Arabidopsis thaliana: one gene and its partner. The protein of the gene in region 2 interacts with the protein of the main gene of each other region in a pairwise test. Each region holds a gene or a part of one and is shown on either strand. Other genes may lie near its edges.

What was found.
Region 1: the proteins of ZFP10 (region 2) and ERF10 interact in a two-hybrid assay, tested with the Arabidopsis thaliana proteins (one large-scale study listed by BioGRID).

The regions. Positions count from the first base shown.
Region 1 is NC_003070.9:953,773-961,266, reverse strand, and holds ERF10 (ERF domain protein 10), read left to right. Parts: upstream 1-2,883; 5' UTR 2,884-3,268; coding exon 3,269-4,006; 3' UTR 4,007-4,163; downstream 4,164-7,494. Other genes in the region: AT1G03820 (E6-like protein), read left to right, coding at 591-1,259; AT1G03810 (Nucleic acid-binding, OB-fold-like protein), read right to left, coding at 1,658-1,839, 2,259-2,508; SOM (Zinc finger C-x8-C-x5-C-x3-H type family protein), read right to left, coding at 5,497-6,678.
Region 2 is NC_003071.7:15,824,450-15,833,080, forward strand, and holds ZFP10 (zinc-finger protein 10), read right to left. Parts: upstream 4,336-8,631; 5' UTR 4,172-4,335; coding exon 3,257-4,171; 3' UTR 2,967-3,256; downstream 1-2,966. Other genes in the region: AT2G37730 (glycosyltransferase (DUF604)), read right to left, coding at 1-89; AT2G37750 (uncharacterized protein), read left to right, coding at 6,568-6,816; AKR4C8 (NAD(P)-linked oxidoreductase superfamily protein), read left to right, coding at 7,546-7,653, 7,742-7,792, 8,092-8,168, 8,254-8,341, 8,418-8,631.

The DNA of each region.
Region 1 (7,494 bases), on a different chromosome or scaffold from region 2:
ATTATTTACTAGTATATCATAAATCTACTAGTATAATATAATACTGTATATGATAATCATGGCTATTAAAAACTTGTGATAATCATTAAAATGGCATTTTAGAGATCTATGTATAGTTATTATTAAAAATATATTTCCTTTTAACATTATAACAGCTTTGCTACCACAAAACATTATCTAATTCTAAATTTCTAATCTTCATTTTTCAACTAACTCAACTACCAAACAGTGGAATAAAGTCAAAAGCATGTGTAAATAAATAATAACTCGTAATTTATTTTCTTGGGTGCTTTTCTTTTTTGACCAAAACATATATAAATAAAACTAACAAATGCAAAATATCCTCGTATGACCCACTTTATGAATTCTTTATAACCTTTTCAAATTTTATTTTAAATCACTCGCCGCGAATGACGAATGTCCCCTCCTCAATCTTCGCATGTTTGCTCGCCATTTAACTACTTCTTTACTTATCATACCAAAAAAAAAACTACTTCTTAATTCTATTTATACATAAACTCACTCACACACCAAAATCACATCTCAAATCCTAAAATCTTTCACTCTCTCACATTATTCTCTCTTCATTGATGGCTTCTTTTGCTCTGAAACCCATTTTTTGTTTCATTGCTGTTTTTTGCTTCATCGTCCACAATGTTGAAGCTAGAGAGGGTAAGCTCTTCTTTAGCAAGTTCACTCACATAGATCGTCCTAACAACAAAGATGTCGCTCTATCTCCAGCTCCAGCTCCCGGACTAGCCCAAGCTAATGGAAGACTCGGAAATGGGTCTTTCGGGCCTGGTTCCGGTATGATTCCTCAAACCAAAGAGTCATGGCCAAGTTCATCCACTACAACAGACGAAGAGTTTGAGAAATTGATGGCTACATTTGACGAAGAAAAGAATACCAAGTTACCCGAGGCATTCGAGGAAGAAGAAGAATCTGAAGATTCGGAAGATCTCAATGAGCCAAAGGATAAGTACAACAACAACAACAACAATAATGGATACACTTACACTACTAACAATTATAATGACAATGGGAGAGGTTACGGTAATGAAGAAGAGAAGCAGGGGATGAGTGACACAAGGGTTATGGAGAACGGTAAGTATTTCTACGACACAAGAGGTAGGAATTCAGAAAACACCCCTAGTCGCGGGTATGAGAATGCTCGAGGAAATGATCATACCAACGAGTTTGAAACTATGGAGGAATACTACAAGAGCTTGGAGGGTAGTCAAGAAGAGTATGAGCCTTAGAAGGAAATTGTATTTGAGAAAACAAAACACTTTTTTGGAGCAATTAATTATATTGTGCAATCTCCATTTACTTGTCTTTTATGAAAAGTGAAAGTAAAAACACTTTTAAGTTATACAAATCAAAGCTGTGAGTTATATTATGTTTATGCTAAAATTTTTTAACGTTTATCTTAATCTCAATTTATGACCATGATTAATACCAGCGACGAGTATGTGTTAAAAATAGAATCAAAAGACCAATAATACCAATTTAAGAGAACTATGCAAGACCAAAACTACACCATCATAATCTCAAAAGTAATCATAACTGAATATAATCTCAGTGACCTAGAGAGTTCTCTGAAAATTTAAATTAAATAATAACGAAGAGAAGTAGAGACAGACACCGGTTGTAGTCATTAAGCAGTAATTACTTCATACTCGACCAGAGAGAGATTGTTGGCCCGGTTAACCTCGAACGAAACAGGACCGGTTATTTCAATGCGTCCCCATCTGTCAACAGCCATTCTCATAGTGTCCTTGAACAAGTCGATCTTCGCATTCCTCAGTATAACTGTTGCTCCAGTCTTCATTAGATCAACTGCATTTGCAACCCCAAAAGAACATCATTAATTAGTACCATACATATTCTCACATATTGAATAGGAAGTTGTATAAATGTCAAACACAAACACACTAATCAAAGCTTAGAGATTAATGAAGTGGAACATATTGAACACTAATCAAAGCTTAGACATATATAAATAGATATACTCTGTTCATCAATAAACTAAACTATAAGCAAAATTATCTATAAAAAAAGTTAAACTTTATCAAAATCTCTGAAGTATAAATGTTTTAGATCTTCACAAACATAGAGATTCCAATCAAGGCATATATAAACCTAGAAACAGAGAAATTATGGAAAGATTGAACGCAATTTCGAGTGAAAACGATAGAGAAACGATTACGAAACCCTAACCAAGAGAACTTATATATGTAAATAATTAAGATCCTTACCTTGGTCGTTGCGAGCGGTGAAAAGAATGCATCCAGTATCGTCACCAATTAGGCACTCAGCGATACGAGGAGATGAAATTGGCTGCTGCGTCAACGAACTTTTACGAATCGCCGGTTTAACGGGATTCGATTCAAGGACTTTGACGATCAGAGTATGGCCGCTGGTTCCTGGTTTGAGCTGATCCACCTTCACAAACACTGGTTTACGCTTCGGCGCAGTCGTCGCGTTAGTATTCGCCGTCGTCGACATAGTGTCGTAATTTGAATCTCCTTAGGGTTTTTCAAAATAATTGACAACTTTGACGTGATGAAGAGTCGCGCTGGTAGATTAGGGTTTAGATTCTTCACAATGGTATTTAAATGAGAAAATTAGAAACAAATCTTACTCTGGATTATTATCTAAATTACTGGATTATAAATTACCACTAATTCATTTTTTGCGATTTTTAAAACGGTATACATTTTATTGGCGCGTTCAAAATTTGAAACTTAAACTCATTATATTTTCATATTATGCTTAATATTAGTCGAATTTTCTTTTTTTGACATCCAATATTAGTCTAAGCAGATTGTGGAGTAATAATAAATCATCAAATTTTGTTATAATGTAGCAATGTATCATCTACTCAATTTTTATGTATTATAACTTTTGTATCAAAGAATACAATTTTAGATTCATCAAGCTTTCTCGAAGTATATATTCGACATGGATAATTTCTAAGTACTTGTTTATCAGATTCTCAGATAAAATATGAAAAAGCCCAAAGATAATAACCTGTTAAAGCCCAAGCAACAAATGGCGCAAAACTGCGAGACGCAAGAACGGGGACGTTTAGGTTAAAACATAAAAAGGCGTCATAAAACTGTTTTCTCTTTAAGGCGGCGCGTCAGTCAATCCACGTGGACATTTCTTTCCACATTTTTGTCACTTTGTCCTTTTGTGGGATTACGTCACTTCTATAAAACAATAGTTTTGTCCTTTATCTAAATTATTCTCCCCCAACCAAAATATGACCACAGAAAAAGAGAATGTCACTACGGCCGTGGCCGTGAAAGACGGCGGAGAAAAGAGTAAGGAAGTGAGTGACAAGGGCGTAAAGAAGAGAAAGAATGTAACTAAGGCCCTGGCCGTGAATGACGGCGGAGAAAAGAGTAAGGAAGTGCGTTACAGGGGTGTAAGGAGGAGACCATGGGGGAGATATGCTGCGGAGATCCGTGATCCGGTAAAGAAAAAACGGGTCTGGCTCGGGTCCTTCAACACGGGGGAGGAAGCCGCCAGAGCCTACGACTCCGCTGCCATAAGGTTTCGAGGATCGAAAGCTACTACTAACTTCCCTCTAATCGGATACTATGGGATTTCTTCGGCGACGCCGGTGAACAACAACCTTTCCGAGACGGTGAGTGATGGAAATGCCAACCTCCCTCTCGTTGGAGACGATGGGAATGCTTTGGCTTCTCCGGTGAACAACACCCTTTCCGAAACGGCGCGTGATGGAACACTTCCATCGGATTGTCACGACATGTTATCTCCGGGGGTGGCTGAAGCGGTTGCTGGATTTTTCTTAGATCTGCCTGAAGTTATTGCGTTGAAAGAGGAGCTTGATCGAGTTTGTCCTGACCAGTTTGAGTCCATTGATATGGGGTTGACTATTGGTCCTCAAACCGCCGTGGAAGAGCCTGAGACTTCCTCCGCCGTGGATTGTAAGCTGCGAATGGAACCGGATCTTGACCTCAACGCAAGTCCCTAAAGATTGATCTGATGTTGTTGTCCTTGAATAAGTTTGTTATCTTGTCGCTCTTCTGATTGTCTGTACTTCTATTGGTTGATTCGTGCTTTTGGAGGACAAAACAAACATTTTTTTATGTATTAAAAAAAGGTAATTGAACTATTATCGTATCATAACCTAGCCAATGGATTTCGTGTTGACGTGGGGGATAAAGAAGTATTGGTGTCAGGTGGGTCGCACGTGTGTTTTTCGCCGTCCACAGTGACACGTGGAATACAACTTATCTCACTACTTACCTTTTTTACTCACGCGCTCTCTTTTACGGTGATATACACTAGCTCCTTGAATTAGTTATAACTTATAAGAGCAAAGGTAAATATCAAATGAGAGAAAGAAAAACATCTGTGACAATGATTGTATTTAATACCCCAGTAACAAACTGATCCAAAATCAAGATTCTCTTGATAAACAGAAATATGTATGTTTCATCACTTTGTTTATAGCAATGAGTATAGAGTCCACCAAAAGGAGTATATATGTTCATAGATCCCATACATGCATGTATGTGCTCATATATTATAATATTATGTAGTCAACACGTCTCGATATGTACATCTGTCGATGACATACACATGCCTCATATGAAAGCTACTAGCTTTCGTGTGGTGTCCAAAGAAGAACAATTGGAGAACTTGTCGCACCTTTTTATATACAAAAAAGGATGTGACATATAACTTTAGGGAGACGGTACTAACACAACTGTATTCTCGTCTACCAGGCACCAGCATAACCAAAACATAACACATTTCAGGGTGAGGGGGATGAATAATTCGAGAATTGTGCATAGGTACATTCATAAAATTAAATCATAAACATAACACGTTTCAGGGTATACGATGAGATGAAACATTTATTTTCAAGAAACGCATATCTTAATATCATTTATAAAACTTAATAGCGTAAACCGAAAACGCAATGTGATCAATCGTCCAGTGATATTTTATACGTTTAAAAGCTTAATACAAATTAACTATAAAACAAAAACCATCAGTTAATCAATATACATATCACAATGATGAAAACAGACGAAGACGAAAACAAAAAAGAAGATCAATATACATATCAATATTCAATTGTGAGGTTGTAATGTTCAAATTGATCTATTAAAGATTTAACAAAGTATACATGAAAAGGGAAAAATATCTATAGAATTGGTGAAACATTGCACAATCCGAGTCCACAAGATATTACAAGTTCAACATATTATTTGGTAAAAATCCCATCAGAAAAAGAAAATTCTAAAAAATAAACGACAATACACAAGACACTTCTGAATTAGCTAAAAAAAAAAATCTTCAAAATAAATTTGAACAAACAATCTCTCCATGCATTGACCAAACCGTTACGAACCGATTATTCTCCCATGATTCATGAATGTGATTAAAATTCTTCCACCGAAATTTACATTCTCAAGTCAGATCTCCTCCCGGCGAATCTCCACCGTCAATCCCTCAAGTCAAGAGATCATTGACCCATCCTAGATCAGGGTCACCACAAGAACCATCCTCAATGTTAGTATTCTCCCTAACGGCCGTCATCGCCGTGAAATCGTTCATCTGTCTCCGGCGAGGAGTGAAATCATCACTGAAGAAGTTCGCCTGAGGTGAGTTAGTTAGGTAACTTGGAGTGGAAGGCGAAAGAGCAAATTGCAAAGGGCTACTTGGTTGTTGTTGCTGGAGATGGAGACGCTGATTGCTCAGACCGCAGGACGACGCAAACGCGGCAGCCGCAGCGGAAACCGGAGTTGTAACGGGCGACGAGGAACTCGCCTGCAGCGCTTCCGCTAAGCTCATGGAATCCAAAGAATTCACAAGCTCGCTCAAAACGTCTTTATAGTTCATTGAACCAGCGGCTGCAGCGGCGGAAACGGCAGAAGCGGCGCGGTTCCTCAACCGTGAAAAAGCAGCGGCTTTATTAGCCGGAGACATAGGTGGAGACAGAGACGGAGATCGAGAAAGATGAGACAAATTACCCAAAAGAGTGCTCGTGGGAGAGCTGCTACAAAACAAGCAACATGGATTCTTCGCCGCAGGAGAAGGCGACGCTGAGACACCGGAAACGTTCTCCGGAGGAAGAACCCTAAGCTGACGTGGCGAATGAGCAAAGAAACAGACTTTCCTTTTACAGTGTTTACCGTCTTTACAAGCTTCAGTACGGTAACGAATAGGATGGAGCCAACACTCGAAGACTCCATGAGCAAACTCACAATCATCTCCACGGCTACAATCACCACCACGACGAAACTCGGGACAAACCTCACCGGAGTATTGAAAGCGACGAGGGTCACGACGGCGAGCTTTCTCACCGGGATGAGCAAAAGGACAATCAGTCCAATCGTGGCTTCGGCTACGAGTGCAACGACGGATCTTGAATTCGAACATCCGGAAATGATCACTTGCGTAAGGATCATCAGAGTCAGAATCATAACAGTACTCTTTATTCTCTCTGTTGTTGTCTTCGTTGTCTTCTTCATGTTCAGATGTAATCTTGTTGCTTTTGTTCCAGTTATGTTTACGCGGCGAGCGAGGGGAAGAAGAATCAGAAGGAAAACTCTTGGAAGATAAAAGAAGCTTTCTCGGAGGAATCTCCACCGTTGGCTTCCTCATTTGATGTTCCGTACAAACGACATCCATGATGATATAATATCTAACTTGTTTTTTTTGTTTGTGATGTGTTTTGGTTTTGAGGGATTTGTGTAAGATGAAAGATGGGATATTGTGGTTTATATATATGTGGATTGAGTATAGATATAGACATGAGAATAAGTTAAAACGTATATTTAAATATTGTTAGCTTTGGATTATTATCATTAAATAGAATTTTGATGAGATGTAATAAGAAGACAAGAGATTAAAAAGTGGAAGGAGTCGTGTGAAGGGTATGGGGAGAGGGTTCGTGGCGAGATAAGAGAAGAGTTTTAGAGAGGTTTCATGCAAAAGAAGCAGGAGCTGCCTTTCTCTCCTTGCTTCAGACCTAACACATGTGCCTATGTTTTCATCAGCATCATCCTCTCTTTCTCTCTCCCTTATCAACATCCATTTACTTTCTAATTTGTTTTTTTGTTAGAATTATACTTGAAAGTATAAGGATAAAACAACTAACTTTATAACAAATTAATTATAATGTATGAATTTGTCTTCTAGTTTGTTACCAAGTAGGCAAGTACTTTGTGACTTTGATACCAAAAATAAGTAACCACCCCATATATATGATTATGTTACTGTTTGATAAGTATTCTTGTTTGTTAAAGCGATCAGCATTTGAAGTATTATTTTTCCTTACTTAGGATTATTATTTAAAGCAGTTTTACTTATTTTTTCATATATTAATTTGTATTTTTGGATTTTAAGTTAAGTGTTCATATTTTTCTTCTTTTACTTAATTTTATCTCTTAGAAGAAAATATTTTAACAAAAACTTAAAATCATTAATTTTTACTCTCTTGGATAC
Region 2 (8,631 bases):
AGGGAAAGAACATGGCTTGGTTTTACAGTTGTTGCCGGAAAAATCGACGGCGGCTTATGGTGGAGCTTAAACGGATCGAAGATGGCCATTTTTTTTTTTTTGATGTTTATGGTCTGTGGAACTTTATTTTGTACAAATATGTTACGACTGTACGAATAGGGTTTAGTGGAAATAAGATTGACATTTATTTTTATTTTTATTTTTATATTTTTGCAGCTAAAGTTTACATATATTGCGATACAAATTGAGAAAGTTTATATTCGACGAATATTCCTACTCCTTTATTTTCGTTGATGAAATATATGGTTTCGAGAAAACAAATCTTCTAAAACATAGGAATGGTTTTAACTTTGAAGCATATAGGATGACTATCAGATACTGTATGACTAGAGTAATGGACCTTTGTTGACCACCAAATTTTTTTAAAAAAGTTATGGACCCTAAGCTGTTGCACATACGTATGTTATTGGGCCAAGCATGGTGGAGTGAAGGAAATGTCCAAAAATCTTAACCATAAGACTAAGAGAGTAACAAACTTGAATCAAAGGTATATTTTACTCTTTTGAGTCGTTGACAAAACATCACTTACATAACCTCACTCACATCTTTAAAACTGAGAATAAAATAAAAGAAACCAGACTGGTAAAGCGGACCAACCAAGAATTTTTGGTCTTTTCTTGTTGTCAGGATCCTCTGTAGAACTTTCGCTTACATATGTACCAGTGTACTTGTGTGTATTATATTTCTGTTAGTATTCGAAGTCTAGTTGTTGATTAGTTTCAAACAGACATATGTCGACTGGTCTTGCTATTGGGAAATAATTGATAACCAATTTTTGTCCAGTAATTGATGCATTATATTATTATCTAAAGAATCGTCCAAAATTCCGTGACACTTTAATTCTTAGAATCCAAAAAAAAATTCCCTTCACGTATTGTATATATTTGATTATTGTCATATTTGAATTATTAATTTAACTATTGAAATATGTGAGTTACAGAGAATGAGATTCATTCCCCATGTGGAAGCTCTGCTTTTATTCGAAGACTTCACTTCCACCTATGTATTGTTATATACAGAGAAGACCACTTCATTATATTTATAGCAATCTAAAGAGCGTATCTAACTAATAACCAAACCCTAGCTAGGTAAACCAAGAATTAGTTGATAGCTTTGAAGTTTATGCCAATGGGTTCATGAACGAATCGAAAAACATTCAAGAGAAAATATCTGTTTTTAAATTCTTTTCAAAATCAACTTGCACAAAAAGAAGAAAGTTTCTATGTTATTTCACTGTATCATTTCTTAGAATCTCATACAACATATATATTTTACACTATAAAATCATATCAAATCAAATCACTAAGAGACTATACTAATTGTTTTTCATTTTTAGACTTCTAGTAAAATCTCACTAATAGATTAGCTCCAAAATTCTTTAGACAAGTAGATATATCATATATACTTGCCCGTATATGCATCTATATATAGTTTCCCCTATAAAGCTCACCACCTTATTTAATGTACTACGTAGTGGGATTGGGAAGCAACTTGGGTAAACATTTTCCACTAATGTAAAAACTTTCACTTATTGTATTCAAAAAGTTTTTTTGGTTGTATCAATAGAAACCGGATGGTTGATAGAAATTAAGAATGAAAATACTATGGTTTATGTAATGTAAATGTGTAATATATAATTAAGTATAAACAGATTCTTCCAATGCGTTATGGGTTTTTGATATATAGAAACAGTGCAAACCTAGTTTACAGATACGATATGAAAATTTATAGATTAAGTTAAGTCTAAGCGATAGAAGAGTTGGTAACCCATGGGGCTAAAAAGTTAGGGTAGAGACTCTAAATGGTTGGAGTAGTATATAATTTTATTCTATTCAATTATCTATTGAGACAAAACAAGCGAAAGGGAATATGTGTTGTGACATATTTGGATTTTTGTGCTCTTTCTTATGCTTATTTTTATGATTTTGACAGAATGGCATGTTACGTACTGAGATGCGAATGTATGTGGAAACGAGCTTATAACGACGTTTAACAACGAGGAATTAGTCATTATTAAACTATTTCCTTATTGTTTTACAAAATTAGTTACGAACTTATTTGCCAGAGTTCCTGCAATTATGATAGGAAAAAGAACAATAATTAGTTGCTTCCGAGTTTTTCTACTTTACGTAAATATTAATTATATTATAGCTATCGAAATTCCTTTAATAAATTACTAACTAAGATCTATGGGAGAATTATTCATCATTCGATCTCTTTCTTGGAAATTGTGACAGAAAATATTCCATCTTCATGTGATTTTATTTTGGATTGTTGTTACACAACATGCTTCAAATCACTCAAGGAAGTATAGACGTGTCAATACTTTTTTTTTAATTTTTAACCAAGAGGTTTCGGACTTAAGAGTTATTAAGACCCCGTATTCTTATTATGGAAACCATAACAACTTAGTTAGTCATTTTTCCGGTAAGATTCGAATTAAGCTGAGATTTTAAAGCGCATTTAAACGATCGCCTAGGTAGTGAAGCTGGGCTATACAAAATACTTTGCTCTTGTTTATATATACAAAAGTATTTTGCTCGTTTTCATGGTTTCGTATTTTCATGTACATTATCATTTCAAATACTACTATTACTAAATAATATACTACAGAGTTCATATAGTCATTTGCATATCCAAGCTAAATCATATATATCGAAAACTTTACCCAGAAAATGAATCATAATATGGGCTCATCTGACCCCATTAACCAATCTTTATTTTTTTCTCTGTGAATAGATATCTCAACGTCGTAAACTAGAAGCTGAGAAATGAATGGTATGTGGTAGCATATGTATGATTCACTCCTGGAAACATTGTCTAAACATGTACTACTAATTATAACAAAATGACTTAGGGTGTCAATATACCTAATTGTATATGAAATTTTGTTCTCAAGCCTCAAGTGTACATACATATACTACTCAATACTTCCTTTAGATTTTTCCATTTTTTTTTAGCTGAACTTTTCATACAATTTATCCCCCAAAATAAAACAATAGAAATAAAACCCAAAAATCAATCATCAGTACATTTTAGACACACAAAACGAAGGAACGATAAATCCAAGTACACACATACACATTCACATACATACCATATGAAATGTGTTATTTTGTCTCACCATATGAAATGTTACTATTTATATATATCTTCCCTTTACCTTTGTTTTGGTAGAGATTCATCGGTCCATCAATCAAATTCCTTTTGGTGGATCAGTCCCTAGCCTAAGCTCAAGATCTAAATCCTCAAAGCGATCACCTTTGTGTTTGCTTTCCTCGTTTCTTGTAATTATGTCACTCTTACAAGATAAACTTGAAATGAAAATCGACTGCTGCGACGGACTCTCATGTCTTCGTCTTCTTTTACGGATATCCACCCTACCAATCTCTTCATCGCTACCGTGAGCAGTAATCGGAAAACTTTGGTGGATGACCAGATTCATACTCACCGAGAGATCAGTGGTGTTTCCAAGACTAAGTTTTGCTTTATGCCCGATTTTTGGCACATCACTCTCAGTCTTTCTCTTCTTTTCTCCTTCCATAGCCGGAATTTCATATAGATCACAACTCTTTTGCTCCACAACAGTACTTGGGCACGACCATGGGGAAGAAGAGGGAATATATTTAGAGTTCTTGGAAGGTTCTACAACGAAAGAAGGAGGAGAAGAAGAAGTATGTTGCTTTCCAGGCAAACCAGAAGAAACCCTAGAAGGAGTCAAATATGGTAAAGAAGAAGACGAAGAAAGATCAATAACACAAGAGTGTTGAGTCTTAAAATAATTAGGTTTGGTGTTAAAAACCAAAGTATAGCAAGAGGTTTCATGAATATTATCGCTATCTTTATGAGATGGATACTCTGGAGACGAAGAAGATTTGGGGAATAAGTATTGGTCGTCGGCTTGCTTAAGCCGTGCTCTGTCTCTTCGGTGAACGTTCATATGGCCACCGAGGGCTTGAGCCGATTTAAATTCTCTCCGGCAGAAGCTACACGTATAAGATCTTGGCGGCCACAAAGATCCGGCGGCATCGTCTTCTGCAAAGGCCAGCTCTTCCCAAGATGACTCTTTGTTGCTTTTCTTGGGGATCCAGAAGCCACCAGGTTTCTCCATTGTATATGACAATATTGATCAGAAGTTGACGATACAAACCCTAGAATAAACCTTTCTTCTTCCTTTTTTTCTTGGTTGGTTAGAGGAACCCTAGATGATTAATATTAGGTGGTGGATTACGGAAGAGATCAAGAATGGTGTAATGAAAATAATGGAGGTCAAGATGTTTTATATAAAAAGAAATTAAAACCAAAACGAGTGGAGGTTTTTTAACGATCAAAGGAATTATAGTTTATTTAATTAATTAATTGGGAAATAATAATAATAATAATAATTGGACCGTAGGGATTTTATGAAGAAAAAGATGACACGAACTTTGGATTTTAGTAAAAGTTAGCGGACTGATCTAAATCTTTTATGTTTGCTTGTTCCAAGTGGCTACCCGCAAATGAACGTAATATTTTTCCTTGAATATACAGTAATTTATAGTATTGTAATTAATGTAGTACATATATCTGTTTTAATTTTTTTTTGAAACCAATTATAAATATCCTCACGGTAAAATGGATTATATATATATATATATATATATTTGCTAAATGAAATATCATTTCAAGAATTTAGTTTATTAGAAATATTTTATTAAATGAAATATAATAGTTTATTATTAAACTAAATTGTTTCATTTAACCAAAATATTTTCTATGATGCTATTTCATCCCTGATTTTTGTGATTATGGATATATTGTTAACTTTATAACAAAACAAGAGAATTCAAGGGACTGAAACGTTTTATGACTTTTAAATGGATGACTATATACAATGGCTGATCCAAAAAAACAATTTTGGGTAAGGCATATTCAGTGAGCTCTAGGCTTAGCGCCATATATGTTACATCAAAATTTATTTTGTAGAGTAAAAAGCTTTTTAGAACAAAAAAACAACACCTTAATTTATGTCTATTTTCGTTGTAAATGTGTAATATATAATACATTTAATGAATTACAACAAATGGTAAAACTCATGCTGATAAAATACTGCAAACTAGTTCATAATCGAACTCAATAGAAAATAGAAAAAAGAATTTATACTTTTGTAAAAAAAAAATGCTACTTTGTTTTTCTGTTGTATCGGTAAAGATGAGAACAACACTGACCAAGCGAGGTTTTGGGCTTTAACCATACAAGGCCCACATGAATACAAAGTATAGAGTTTAGTTGTCCACTAAAAACCTAGTTCTATAAGGAGATTATTGCCTTGAGAACAAAATGATTTTATTCCCAATGAACAAGCAAACAAGAAGTTCAATATTTTCTTGTCGAACTTTTTGTCTTCATACCTTTACAATAAAGTGATTAACTCATTACAAATAAATTGTGAGGAATACTAGAAACTTGGATTTATTGACATGATGTTTATTGTTTTAGACATTTTATCTTCATTTGTAACATCGTGATAATGACACATGTTCTAGTTTTTTTTTTTTTTTTTTTTTGGACAAACAGATGTTCTAGTTTTATCTATCAAATTTGAGGAGAAAATATTTTAGTGTTACAAAAATATATAGAAAGGTCTTTTGTTTTTCAATGTTACTGTTAACCTTAAAGTCAAGTTTCAATCAGATAAAGAACTATATGATATAATCACAGTCATCATACAGGCAGATGAAGATAACCATTAAATCAAGACGATAGTCAATCATACTCAATTGGCTTCTTCAATACCAACGGATTAATTAATTCCTCAATAGCTAATATATATCTTTTTAATATTTTGACTATACCCAAATAGTTTAGTGGGCACAATTTCGTAACCTTCTCTTATTTTTTTACACCTCAAACAGTCAAACGTCATCATATATATAACAAATCTTTTGACATCATACGTTATTTTCTATAATAATCCAAACACATCCCCCACCTTTATAAATATATTATGATACACTTCCCATTATTCAAAGATTTTATAGCACAATTTTGTTTTTTAAAAGCAATTAATTAACTACTATAGTATACTTTACTAACAACATTTGAAAAAATATACAAAAATTAAAATTTTATCATTATCAAAGCAGTCCAGCTGCATACCATTATCAAAATTGGATGTGGATAAACTTAATTTGATAAATTTCTGTATAACTTAACAAATATTAAATATGTGTTAATAGTTATGTCAACTTATGTTGAAGATAAATCCATTGGACCGGCCGTGGTTTTTATATTAGTTTGAATGTAGCTTTCAGATTCTTCCTATACCCAAATTTCACATTCAAAGGTTGCTTATCTTTTTAACATTCAAACTCATTTAATATTTAAATACACTAACTAATGACGTGAGAAAACTTATGGATGCAGCAACAAATCATAAGACGCCACGTGACAATCTTGATCGCTCTATAAAAAACCAAACCTGCTCTTCTTTGGTCGCTACAGCAAAAATAACAATAAACAAGATAAATGGAGGGTCTAATTCCGTTAGTATACAAAGCCGTCATGCAAATCCGTTACGGTAACGAGTCGCAGCAACTTTCTTCTTCTTACTACGTTCGTCTTCCCGGTGATTCGGGTCGGTTTGTAAGATCCGATTTAGATGTATCGGGTCCTGGATCTAATTCCTCCAATAGGGCGTCGTCGTCGACAAGCACAACTACGTTTGCTGTTTACGCGGGAGTCCAGTCACCTGTTTCTCGTCAGGTTGTCACGTGATTCACACGCGCTTTTTGAAGGAACCTGAAGTTGCGTGTGAGGGAAGGGTTCGTGACTTTTGTTTTGTGCGTTTTTTTTTTGTAAGTTAGGCTTGGACCGGTTTAATAAACCTGATGTAATAATTCGGTTTGGAAAATTGATTTCTCTAAGCGTAGACTTTAACCCAAAAGGGTGGTCTCGTGGCTTTTGATTTGTCAATTGTGTGTTTTCTTTTAATTGTATAAAGTTTCTATGAATATATTTAGTTTATTCGAGAACAATTGTATGAAATGTTTAGTTAATGTTTTCATGGTATATAGGTTGTAAAACAGGTTAATTACGTTACAATTTCCTAGTTTTGGTATTAATATGCAAAAATGACATAATATCAAACTTTTAAGTAAATTGATATTTTTCACTAATGTTAATAATGAAACCAACTAACAAAAAAAAAAAAGAACAAACCAATTTCTATTTGTTTAAGACTTTGACAGTACATCACTTTTAGAAATAAATGCCATAATTATGTTATGTGCACACTGCAAAAGAAAATGAATACGCACAATTGACTATAAAGAAAACGCCTTTAGTGGCCATACGATTTTTAGCATTTTATGCGGAAGAAACAAAGTGCTATTTCTCCGAGTTACGTATGTTTCTTTTCTTCTGCATCTAGTTTTTTTTTTGCATATTCATCACCTTCTCTCAGTTTTCTTCTTTCAATAGAATTATCCAGAAAACTTTTAAGAGATGGCAGCTCCGATTCGATTCTTTGAACTGAACACTGGTGCCAAGTTACCTTGCGTCGGTCTAGGAACCTACGCAATGGTCGCGACAGCGATCGAACAGGCGATTAAGGTATCACCTTCGGATCAAACTTCGACCTTATTATTATGCCATTGGATATAAAATTTAACTTTGACACTTTTCTTGTCGATTATTTTAGATTGGTTACAGGCATATCGACTGTGCTTCGATTTACGGAAACGAGAAAGAGGTAAATTTGCTATCTACAATATATTTTAATTTATCTCTCTTTAACCATAGATGTCATTTGACTGGTCATCAAATGTATTCTCTACAAGAGTGTATATTTATTATAGTTTTTGAGGGTCATGGTGGAACAAGAATCTCACAGTAAGTGTAGCCTCTATGCTTCTAATGAAAGAGTTTTTTTTTTGGTATGATGCTTCTAATGAAAAAGGTATATGAATGTTTAGTTTGTGGGAACTAAATGTGTTCTGCTTTCTTCCTATTTTCGTTGTTCTCACACTATGATTGATTTCCATTTATTAGATTGGTGGTGTGTTGAAGAAGCTGATAGGTGATGGTTTTGTGAAGCGTGAGGAGTTATTTATCACTTCCAAACTCTGGTTGGTGTTCTGTTTCTACCAAGATTCTCTCTGGTCTGCACTGCACACACACACACATGTTCATGTTTTTTGTTTTGTTCTGTAGGAGCAATGATCATTTACCTGAAGATGTGCCTAAGGCACTGGAAAAAACGTTACAGGACTTACAGATTGACTATGTTGATTTATATCTGGTACATAACTTATAGCAAATGAATCTTGTTTACGTGTAATTTTTTCCATTTTGATGTGTTTTTGCTTTTGTTGAAGATACATTGGCCTGCGAGCTTGAAGAAGGAATCACTAATGCCAACACCTGAGATGCTCACAAAACCTGATATAACTAGCACATGGAAAGCAATGGAAGCTCTCTATGACTCTGGAAAAGCTCGAGCAATCGGTGTAAGCAATTTCTCGTCGAAGAAGCTTACAGATCTTCTTAACGTGGCACGTGTAACCCCGGCTGTTAACCAAGTTGAATGTC